Callithrix jacchus: one gene and its partner. Each later gene encodes a partner of the first gene's protein in a complex. Links are inferred from orthologs where the notes say so. Each region holds a gene or a part of one and is shown in the gene's direction. Other genes may lie near its edges.

What was found. Proteins that work in one complex are often made in the same cells at the same time.
Region 2: the proteins of DLD (region 1) and DBT are in contact, whole or in part, in a crystal structure (PDB 3RNM), measured with the Homo sapiens proteins. The link is inferred for Callithrix jacchus from reciprocal best matches to the Homo sapiens genes DLD and DBT. Residues at the interface, in NP_000099.2 of Homo sapiens: Ser446, Thr447, Asp448, Arg449, Glu472, Tyr473, Gly474, Ser476, Glu478, Asp479, Arg482; in NP_001909.4 of Homo sapiens: Thr174, Pro175, Ala176, Lys196, Arg199, Leu201, Lys202, Glu203, Leu206.

The regions. Positions count from the first base shown.
Region 1 is NC_133512.1:78,360,551-78,364,111, forward strand, and holds part of DLD (dihydrolipoyl dehydrogenase, mitochondrial), read left to right. Parts: intron 1-192; coding exon 193-336; intron 337-1,093; coding exon 1,094-1,195; intron 1,196-3,561. UniProt on the Homo sapiens protein: Lipoamide dehydrogenase is a component of the glycine cleavage system as well as an E3 component of three alpha-ketoacid dehydrogenase complexes (pyruvate-, alpha-ketoglutarate-, and branched-chain amino acid-dehydrogenase complex).
Region 2 is NC_133508.1:145,606,688-145,611,028, forward strand, and holds the start of DBT (lipoamide acyltransferase component of branched-chain alpha-keto acid dehydrogenase complex, mitochondrial), read left to right. Parts: upstream 1-1,531; 5' UTR 1,532-1,581; exon of another isoform or gene 1,582-1,774; 5' UTR 1,775-1,946; intron 1,947-2,482; 5' UTR 2,483-2,558; coding exon 2,559-2,666; intron 2,667-4,341. Other genes in the region: RTCA (RNA 3'-terminal phosphate cyclase), read right to left, coding at 1,071-1,171, 1,275-1,319. UniProt on the Homo sapiens protein: The branched-chain alpha-keto dehydrogenase complex catalyzes the overall conversion of alpha-keto acids to acyl-CoA and CO(2).

The DNA.
Region 1 (3,561 bases):
AATTTAAAGTAGTTTGCTAATCTGAAATAGATTTCCCTGACATGTATCACAGATTTTTTGCTGCACCATGTGTAGCATTACTAAGTAATGTAGCCTTTTGTTTTAGATATGATTTAGAGTATTTTTCCTTCGAATGATTTATCAAACAAATTACTTTAAACTTTGTGAATTATTAAACGTTATTTCATAAAGGTTGTTCATGTCAATGGATATGGAAAGATAACTGGCAAAAATCAAGTCACTGCTACGAAAGCTGATGGCAGCACTCAAGTTATTGATACAAAGAATATTCTTATAGCTACGGGTTCAGAAGTTACTCCTTTTCCTGGAATCACGGTATTTATGCTTTATCATTTACAACCATTACAACTTTTCTTAAGAAATAGGTTTTGTAAATTATGCGTGCTATTTGTGAACTTTGAATGAGAAATTTCTGCCTGAAATATGATATTTTAATGGTCATTCAGCTTTGGGAAGTTTCCTGTCTTTATTCTGTAATGATATTGACTAGATTTGGAATATTAAGATATGTTTGATTACAGTATGAAGTTAAAATTGACTGTTGCATTTTCGAATATTGAATGATAAAATTTAAAGTTAGCATTTTCAGTGGGATTTGATGAAATTGGGTATATAGATACCTCAAAATAAATAAATGACTTAGTTTTAGTGATTCTACTGAGTTCACAGTTTATAAATACACTTGTCTCTTCATATTCGTGGAGGATTGGTTCCAGGAACCCCTTGGTTACCAAAACCTGCACATACTCAAGTGCCTTGCATAAAATGACATTGTATTTGCATATAATTTGCATCTGTCCTCCTGTATACTTTAAGTCCTCTCTAGGTTACTTATAATACCTAATACATTATAAATGCTATGCAGGTAGTTCTTACACTGTATTGTTTAGGGAATAATGACAAGAAAACCATCTGTACCTGTTCAGTATAGATGTAAACATCAATTTTTTTCTGAATATTTTCAGTTCATCTGGTTGGTTAAATCTGCAAATTCAGAACCCATGGATATGGAGGGTTGATTATACTAGGTTTTTTCAGGTTATTTTGATTATATCTTTTGTTTTTCTTACAGATTGATGAAGATACAATAGTGTCATCTACAGGTGCTTTATCATTAAAAAAAGTTCCAGAAAAGATGGTTGTTATTGGTGCAGGAGTAATAGGTGTAGAATTGGTAAGTGTTGTCTTTCTGCCTCTTATTATCTCCTTGGAATTGAAAGGGACTTAATGGTCCCCTTTTTGATTCTTTGTATAACATTATAGGCTGATCAGCATTGAGTTTCGCTTAAATACTTCTAGTAATAAAGAGTTTACTTTTGTTTTTTCCAAGACAACCTATTTATGCATTCACTCATTAGAATGTTCTATTTTAGTCTGTTTCCTTGAACCTTCCACCCTTCCTATTTCCTAGAAGTGGTCTGATTCTTTTTTAATACAACAGCCCTTCAGATATTTGAGGATAGCTCTCATCCTGAGCAAATTGCATTCCAGATAAAGATTATTCTCTTTACCGTGACATACATGATTTGGCTCTTCCCTTCTCTATCCTTATCTTGATGCCTCTTAACTTAGGTTTTAGAAATGTCAGACTACTTGCCTTTCTGTGAACACCATGTTATTTTAGACATTGTGTCTGCCTTGTCCTCCCTTCTTGTCCATCTGGCAGCTTTCCACACATTTCCAATGACCTCCCTTCATTTTAGAGCCACTGTGCCTGTAATCACCAGGAATTGCTCTACTTCTGAAATAATAAATTCAGATTTTTATTATCTAACTGTGACCTCCTGTCTACTTAGTTATTTGTAGTGTTTGTACCCTTTTTTAGGTTTTCTAGTCCATAGATCTACTTTTTTTGCAATCTGCCCTTTCTGGTCTTGACTGTCTTCCTGATCAGCTTAGATGCCATAGTCCATCACATTAGCCACATTCTTACAGGTGTCCTTGAGTTGCCTGCCTCACTGTTCTGTCATATCTGCTTGGTAAAACTCTAGTCCTGTTTGAATGCAGCAGTCTGCCTTTTTTATGCTATTTCCAGGCTGTTGACTGCACCCGGAGAAAAAAACACCCTGCACATTGGTATTTGTGTAAATTCTTGGCACAAACCTCAACAGGAACCTCAGCCTTGCTGATAATTTATTATTTCCTAAGATGGTACACTGTCCTGGTCTCTGTAATGGCCATTTTGTTTTCTGCTCTTCTCAAATCTCTGCTTGTATACTGTTTTCCCTGCCTGTGGATGACCTTGTCTCCTAAATATTACATAAAAGAGAAATCATCAGATGAGAATTTCCTCAAGTTGATGCCCTAAATTTGAAAACTCTTTTACCTGTTGTTATACCTATCCTTTTGATTATCTCTCCAATTACCATGGAAATGCCGTTTTTCCCTAAGACTAATCCCGTTACTTGTGCTTGGTAACACATCATCTGCCTTTTCATTGACTTGATTTTGTGTTGTTTATTGTTGTATTTTTCAGTCTTCAAACTCTTTTCTACTTCGGCTTCTTTCTCATTTACAATTCTGCGTGCCTCTGTGTGTGCACCTGTGTACCATACACATGCTCAGATGCATTTGCGCTCATTAACACTGGCTTGTGGGCACATTAATAAGCCTTCCCTTGGTCCTATGTCCTCCTTCAGTGACCAGTTTCCTTCTCACTTTCCCATTTAAAACCCAGCTTCTCAAAAGAGTCCATGCTTTATTTCATCAACTTCCACTCACTCCTCAGTGTATGGTTTGTGCCAATAAATTGCTTTAAGGACATGTATGCATTTATTGCTCAATCTGGTGGACTGATTTCTTCACTGCTTTATTTGACAGTAATTAGCATTGTTGATTTTCTTGCCTTTGAAACTCTTTCCCTACTGTCTCTGAATCCATATTCTGCCAGTTTTCCATCTATTCTTTGGGCTGAATTCTCCATATTATGCAAGTTCCACTTTCTTAGGATCCCTTTAATTGTTAGTATTACTCTAGATTCTATCTTAGGGTTGTGTCCTAGACATTTTTTGCCTTTCTACAGAATATTCTCTTCACTCTCACCTCAGTTACCCAAGGACTACAGGTATCTGCAGCCTGATCCTTTCTCTTTGCCTCCAGACTTTTATACCTGAATGTCTACTTGTGAGTCTTATGGGTATTCTGTTCACTAAATGTACGACTTAACGTTTCTATCCCCGTCCTACTCCCACCCTTCACCTCAAATAAACCCAAACTTATTTCTCTCGTAGCATTTCCCATCTCAACGGGTGGGTACTGCTGTCTACATAAAGGTTTAAGCAAGAGGTTTGGGACTTACACATGATTTCTCCTGTCCCCTCCCCCACCATTTCACTCAGTCACTGAGTCCTAACACGCGCACACACGCGCGCGCGTGCGTGCACACACACACACACACACACACACAATATATTTACTTCTCTTCACTCTTCTGTTTAGATACTAGTTCGGGCCAGCATCATGTCTTGCCCTAGGTCTTCTGGTTTCTTTCATCTTTTTCTGATCCTCCTCATCGTGGCTAGAGTGATTTTTCTATAACAC
Region 2 (4,341 bases), on another chromosome or scaffold:
GGCCATTAATGTAGGCCCTTATACAATCGGACTGGTGTCCTTATAAAAAGAGACTAGGATATACAGAGACACTAGGGGCTGAGTGCACAGAGGAACCACGATGTGAAGAGGCAAAAAGAGAGGCCTGGAGTAAATCCTTTTCTTATGACTCTCAGAGGAAACCAACCCTGTCAGGACCTTGATCTTGGACAGGCTCCAGAACTGTGAGGAAATAAATTTCTGTTGTTTAAGCCACCCTGTGTGTGTGGTATTTTGTTATGGCAGCCCTATGAACTAACACAACACCTACAGCCTAATGAATTGGATTCCCCTGTTGGTGAACTGGAGGGCTGCAAACAACTATGACAAAGGCAGTTAACATCAACATATATCAGCAATTGCCTTTGGTAATTTCAAAACTGTAGATAAGAGACTGAGATCGCTGATTTATTAAAATGTAATAAATATAGAATACATACAAAGAAATCAGTGTGGCTTCAACCTGAGTCCTCTTCTAACAGGTGCATATACCCAAAACTCAACTAGTGGCATGCCCAGCTACCCAGACAGAAGAAATAAGGTCAAGTGTCAAGGTGTTTTCCTCTTCACAAGAAATAATTCTAGTCATAACAGCTCTCTGGAGGTATGAATGAAAGCTGGAATAACACGTCTCAGGATCCTAAAACTGCAGCAGCACAGAATGCACTGGTTAAAAAACAGGGTTTCCTCTGGCCTCACAAGCATTTCTGCCCTATATATCTTGCCTGCTCATACGTACTATTCGGATATTTGGAATGCCCGGTGAGGTGGGAAAACATTTTAAGAGATAGCTCTTTAGCAAAATGGGACTATTTTAGCCAAACAGAGAAAACTCGAGACCATTTCTAAACTCACCCCCTCGAGGCTTCCAAGACCTTACAACACAGGCCACCGCCCAGGCAGAGCGTCCCGGCCCCGGATCCCCCCATACCTGCAGCCAGGACCTTCAGGGTTCCACCACTCGGACACCCGATGCCCCAGCCCAGCAGCCCTGCGCCTGATCCCCGGATCCCCAAACTTCACGCCGCAACTCCCCGGCCAGCCAGATTTACCTCAGGCCTGGCGTGCTCCGGCCGGCTCGGATCTTCTGCACCCGCAAGGGGAGGCCCAGGAGACAGCTCAAGGCCGTAGAGACTCTCAGGATCTGGCCGCCCTGCAAAGGGTGGGATACATGGAGAAGAGACGTAAGCACACCAATGGTGAGAACTCCCTTCCTTAGTCTGGCTGCAGCCCCCGCCGCTTCGCTCTGCACTCACCCCTTCCATGATGCTGCCATCAACTTCCACCCGCGGCCCCGCCATGGGGGGCACCTTGGGGCCCAGCCGACAGCGACAAAGCCTCCGCCGGAACAGAAGGAAGAAGAGACGTTGGCTCTCGCCCAGTAGTTCAGAAATCTCGGTTCACGGCTGGGACTGCAGGAGCCTGGCGAGAAAGCGGAAGAAGCGACGCCTCTAGGGGAAACCGGAGTCAGCAGAAAGGAACCCCGGCTCCCGCTGTTCTACAGCCAGTGCGCATGCGCATAGCTCGGCTTAAAGGCGCCGCTCCGGGAAACCTGCTGTGCAGGTGAGGAAGGTTCCGGAGAGGTGGGGTGGTGGTCGCGGAGGTGCCCAGGATCCCTGACAGACTTGTGCCTTTGACACAGCAAAATCTGCAGGTTGCAGAAAGTCTCAACTGTAACCACATCCTCCAGTTATCCTGCAGGCTTGTGCTTTATCTTTGTTTTCTGGGTAAATAATGTGTTTCTGTTTTCTCGAAGATCCTGGCATACCCCGAGGTGCCCACTTTTATAGCTGAAGATGCAAGAAAGATCCAGACCCTGCGATGCACCGACCACCTTCTCTCTGGTTGGATTTGCCTTCACTGTGCCTGTCTCTCGAAGTGCGTGCGCCTTGGTGCATTTATATTCTCAGCCCTTCGTTCCTCGAGGGGTGCGTGTTTGTGTGTGCGGAGAGTGTTATCTTTGTTTCTAGGGTGACACGGCATTTATTTGAGGGGCGGGCAAGGCAGAATCACTAGTTTAATACTTTGAAAGGCCAAAGTTATGCCGTCTTGCTTGAGAATGAGTGCAAGTTCTTGACTCCGAGGAACAGTGCAGCTATCAATTCACCTCAGTCGAGGGCAGAAGCAACAGTCAGCTTCTCGGTTCTGCCTGGGGCTCAATTCCAACAAGATTGAGAATTTGTTAAGTAAGTATTTGGCTTACCAAATACTATGCAAGCCTCTAGAGTAAGTCAGCTTCTATTCCTTAAGTTATTGGAGGTATAATGAAGAGACTGAGACGTTATCAATTACAATGTCATCCTCGGTAATAATAGCATGTACTGTATTTATCTTACAGTTTATGGGGACAATTACAATATATTAATAATATCCTATAACAGGCAACTTTACTGAGCACTTAGATATTGTGCACCGCATGCATTCACAACATGATAAAGTGCTTACTGTTTTGACTGTTTTACAGCTTCCTGTGTTAAACAATTTGCTACAGATTCACACAATTTTAACTAGAAGACTGGGATGTGAACCCGGGTGGTCTGATGTTAACACCACTGTCTGGTAATCTCAACACTGCTGCTTTTGCGACAGAGAATGTTTTGCGGAACACACAGACTAGGAACTTAACCAAATCTGGAATTTGCCATAAGGTATTAATCAAGGAAGTAATCATATTCGCATTTTAGAATGAAGGCTTTGGTAGTATGAGGAGGGTGAATAAGAGGCTTAAGAGCCTGAAGGGAGAAATGCCAATGATGCAAATATCCAGCAAAAGATAATGAGAAGCTGAAGTAAGGCAATGATGGTAGCGATGGAATATGAAAAAGCTGTACTCCTATCTGACATCTTAGATTCCTATTACAGAAACTTAACCTTCCCAGAAGAAGCCTTGCCTTTTTATGTCTAACTTTGGCTATTAATTCCTTACTATGACCCTTTGCCCCATTCTGACTACTTCCGGTGGTAGGGAGAAAAGAACAAGATGGTAATATAATGTAGAGATGAGCAAATTATGGTAATAATAAGCACTTGTGTAGTGCTTTCATATACGTGATCTGTCTTAATGTTCATTAGAAAGCTGTGAGGTTGGCGTTCTCATCTCTCTTTGGTCAATGAGGGACTGAGGCCTAGGTAATTGAAGTGACATGCCAAGATGACAGAACAAGAAAGTGGCAGAGTTGGGTTAAATCCTGGGTTATTTTAATAACAAATGACAGTTAGACCAATAACAGAGTCCTCAATAGAATAATGGAAGTCAAAAAGACAGTAGAATTGTACCTTCAGAGTGCTGACAGAAAATAACCATCAACTTAGAATTGGACACTCAGCAAAATTATCTTTCAAGAATTAAAGGGAAGTATAGAAATAAAATAATTTCCAGATACATGGAAACTGAGTTTAACATTTACCTGTACTTTCTAAAGGATGTTCTAAAGGATGTGCTTCAGAAAGAAAAATTACTTCAGAAGAAGAGTCTGAAATAGAAGTGATGAGCGAAAGAAACTGTAAACACATAGTTGAATCTAAGCAAACATTACCCAAAATAACACCAGACAACAAATGTAAGACAAGAGGTGGATGACAAAAGTTAAAGAATTCTGAGGTCTCTCTTTGTAATTAAGATATCAATTAATACAGTTGACATAATTCAAGGTTTAACATAAGTAGGTAAGGTAAAGTTTCAAGAATAACCATGAAAGTGTATTACTTCTAATCCAGCTGAAGGAAAAAAATGGACTAACAAGAAAATACACATTAAGCAAAAGCATAATACCATAATCAGCATAAACAACAGGATGGAAAGAAAGCACTAAAGTAACAGAATAGAAATAAATTCATACAGATCAATAGTAACAATGAAAGTAAATACATTTCCTAATGAAAAGCCAGAGATTGTTGGATGACACCTACCCGCAAATTTAAAAAATTTAAAAACCAGAGATTGATTGGAAAAAAAAAAAGTGCCGTTAACAAGAGATGCACCAAAAACTTTAAGGATAATGAGGAGTTGAAAATAAAATGATGGAAAAGATACACCACATAAATGCCAAAAAAAAAAGAAAGCTGGTATACCGATATTAGTGACAAATTAGACTTTCAAACAAAAAGCACTATCATTGACCAAAAAGAGTCACTACAAAATAATAAAAATTGCAGTCACCAGGAAAATACGTTATTCAAACCTTTGTGTGTAATAAATACCTTCAAAATATGTAAGTCAGACATTGAAGAAACTGGTAAATCCACTACTACACTGAAAGTTTAGCTCAATTATTTGTAGCTCAAGCAAATGAAAATTTAGGAAAGACAAGAAAACTAATAAAC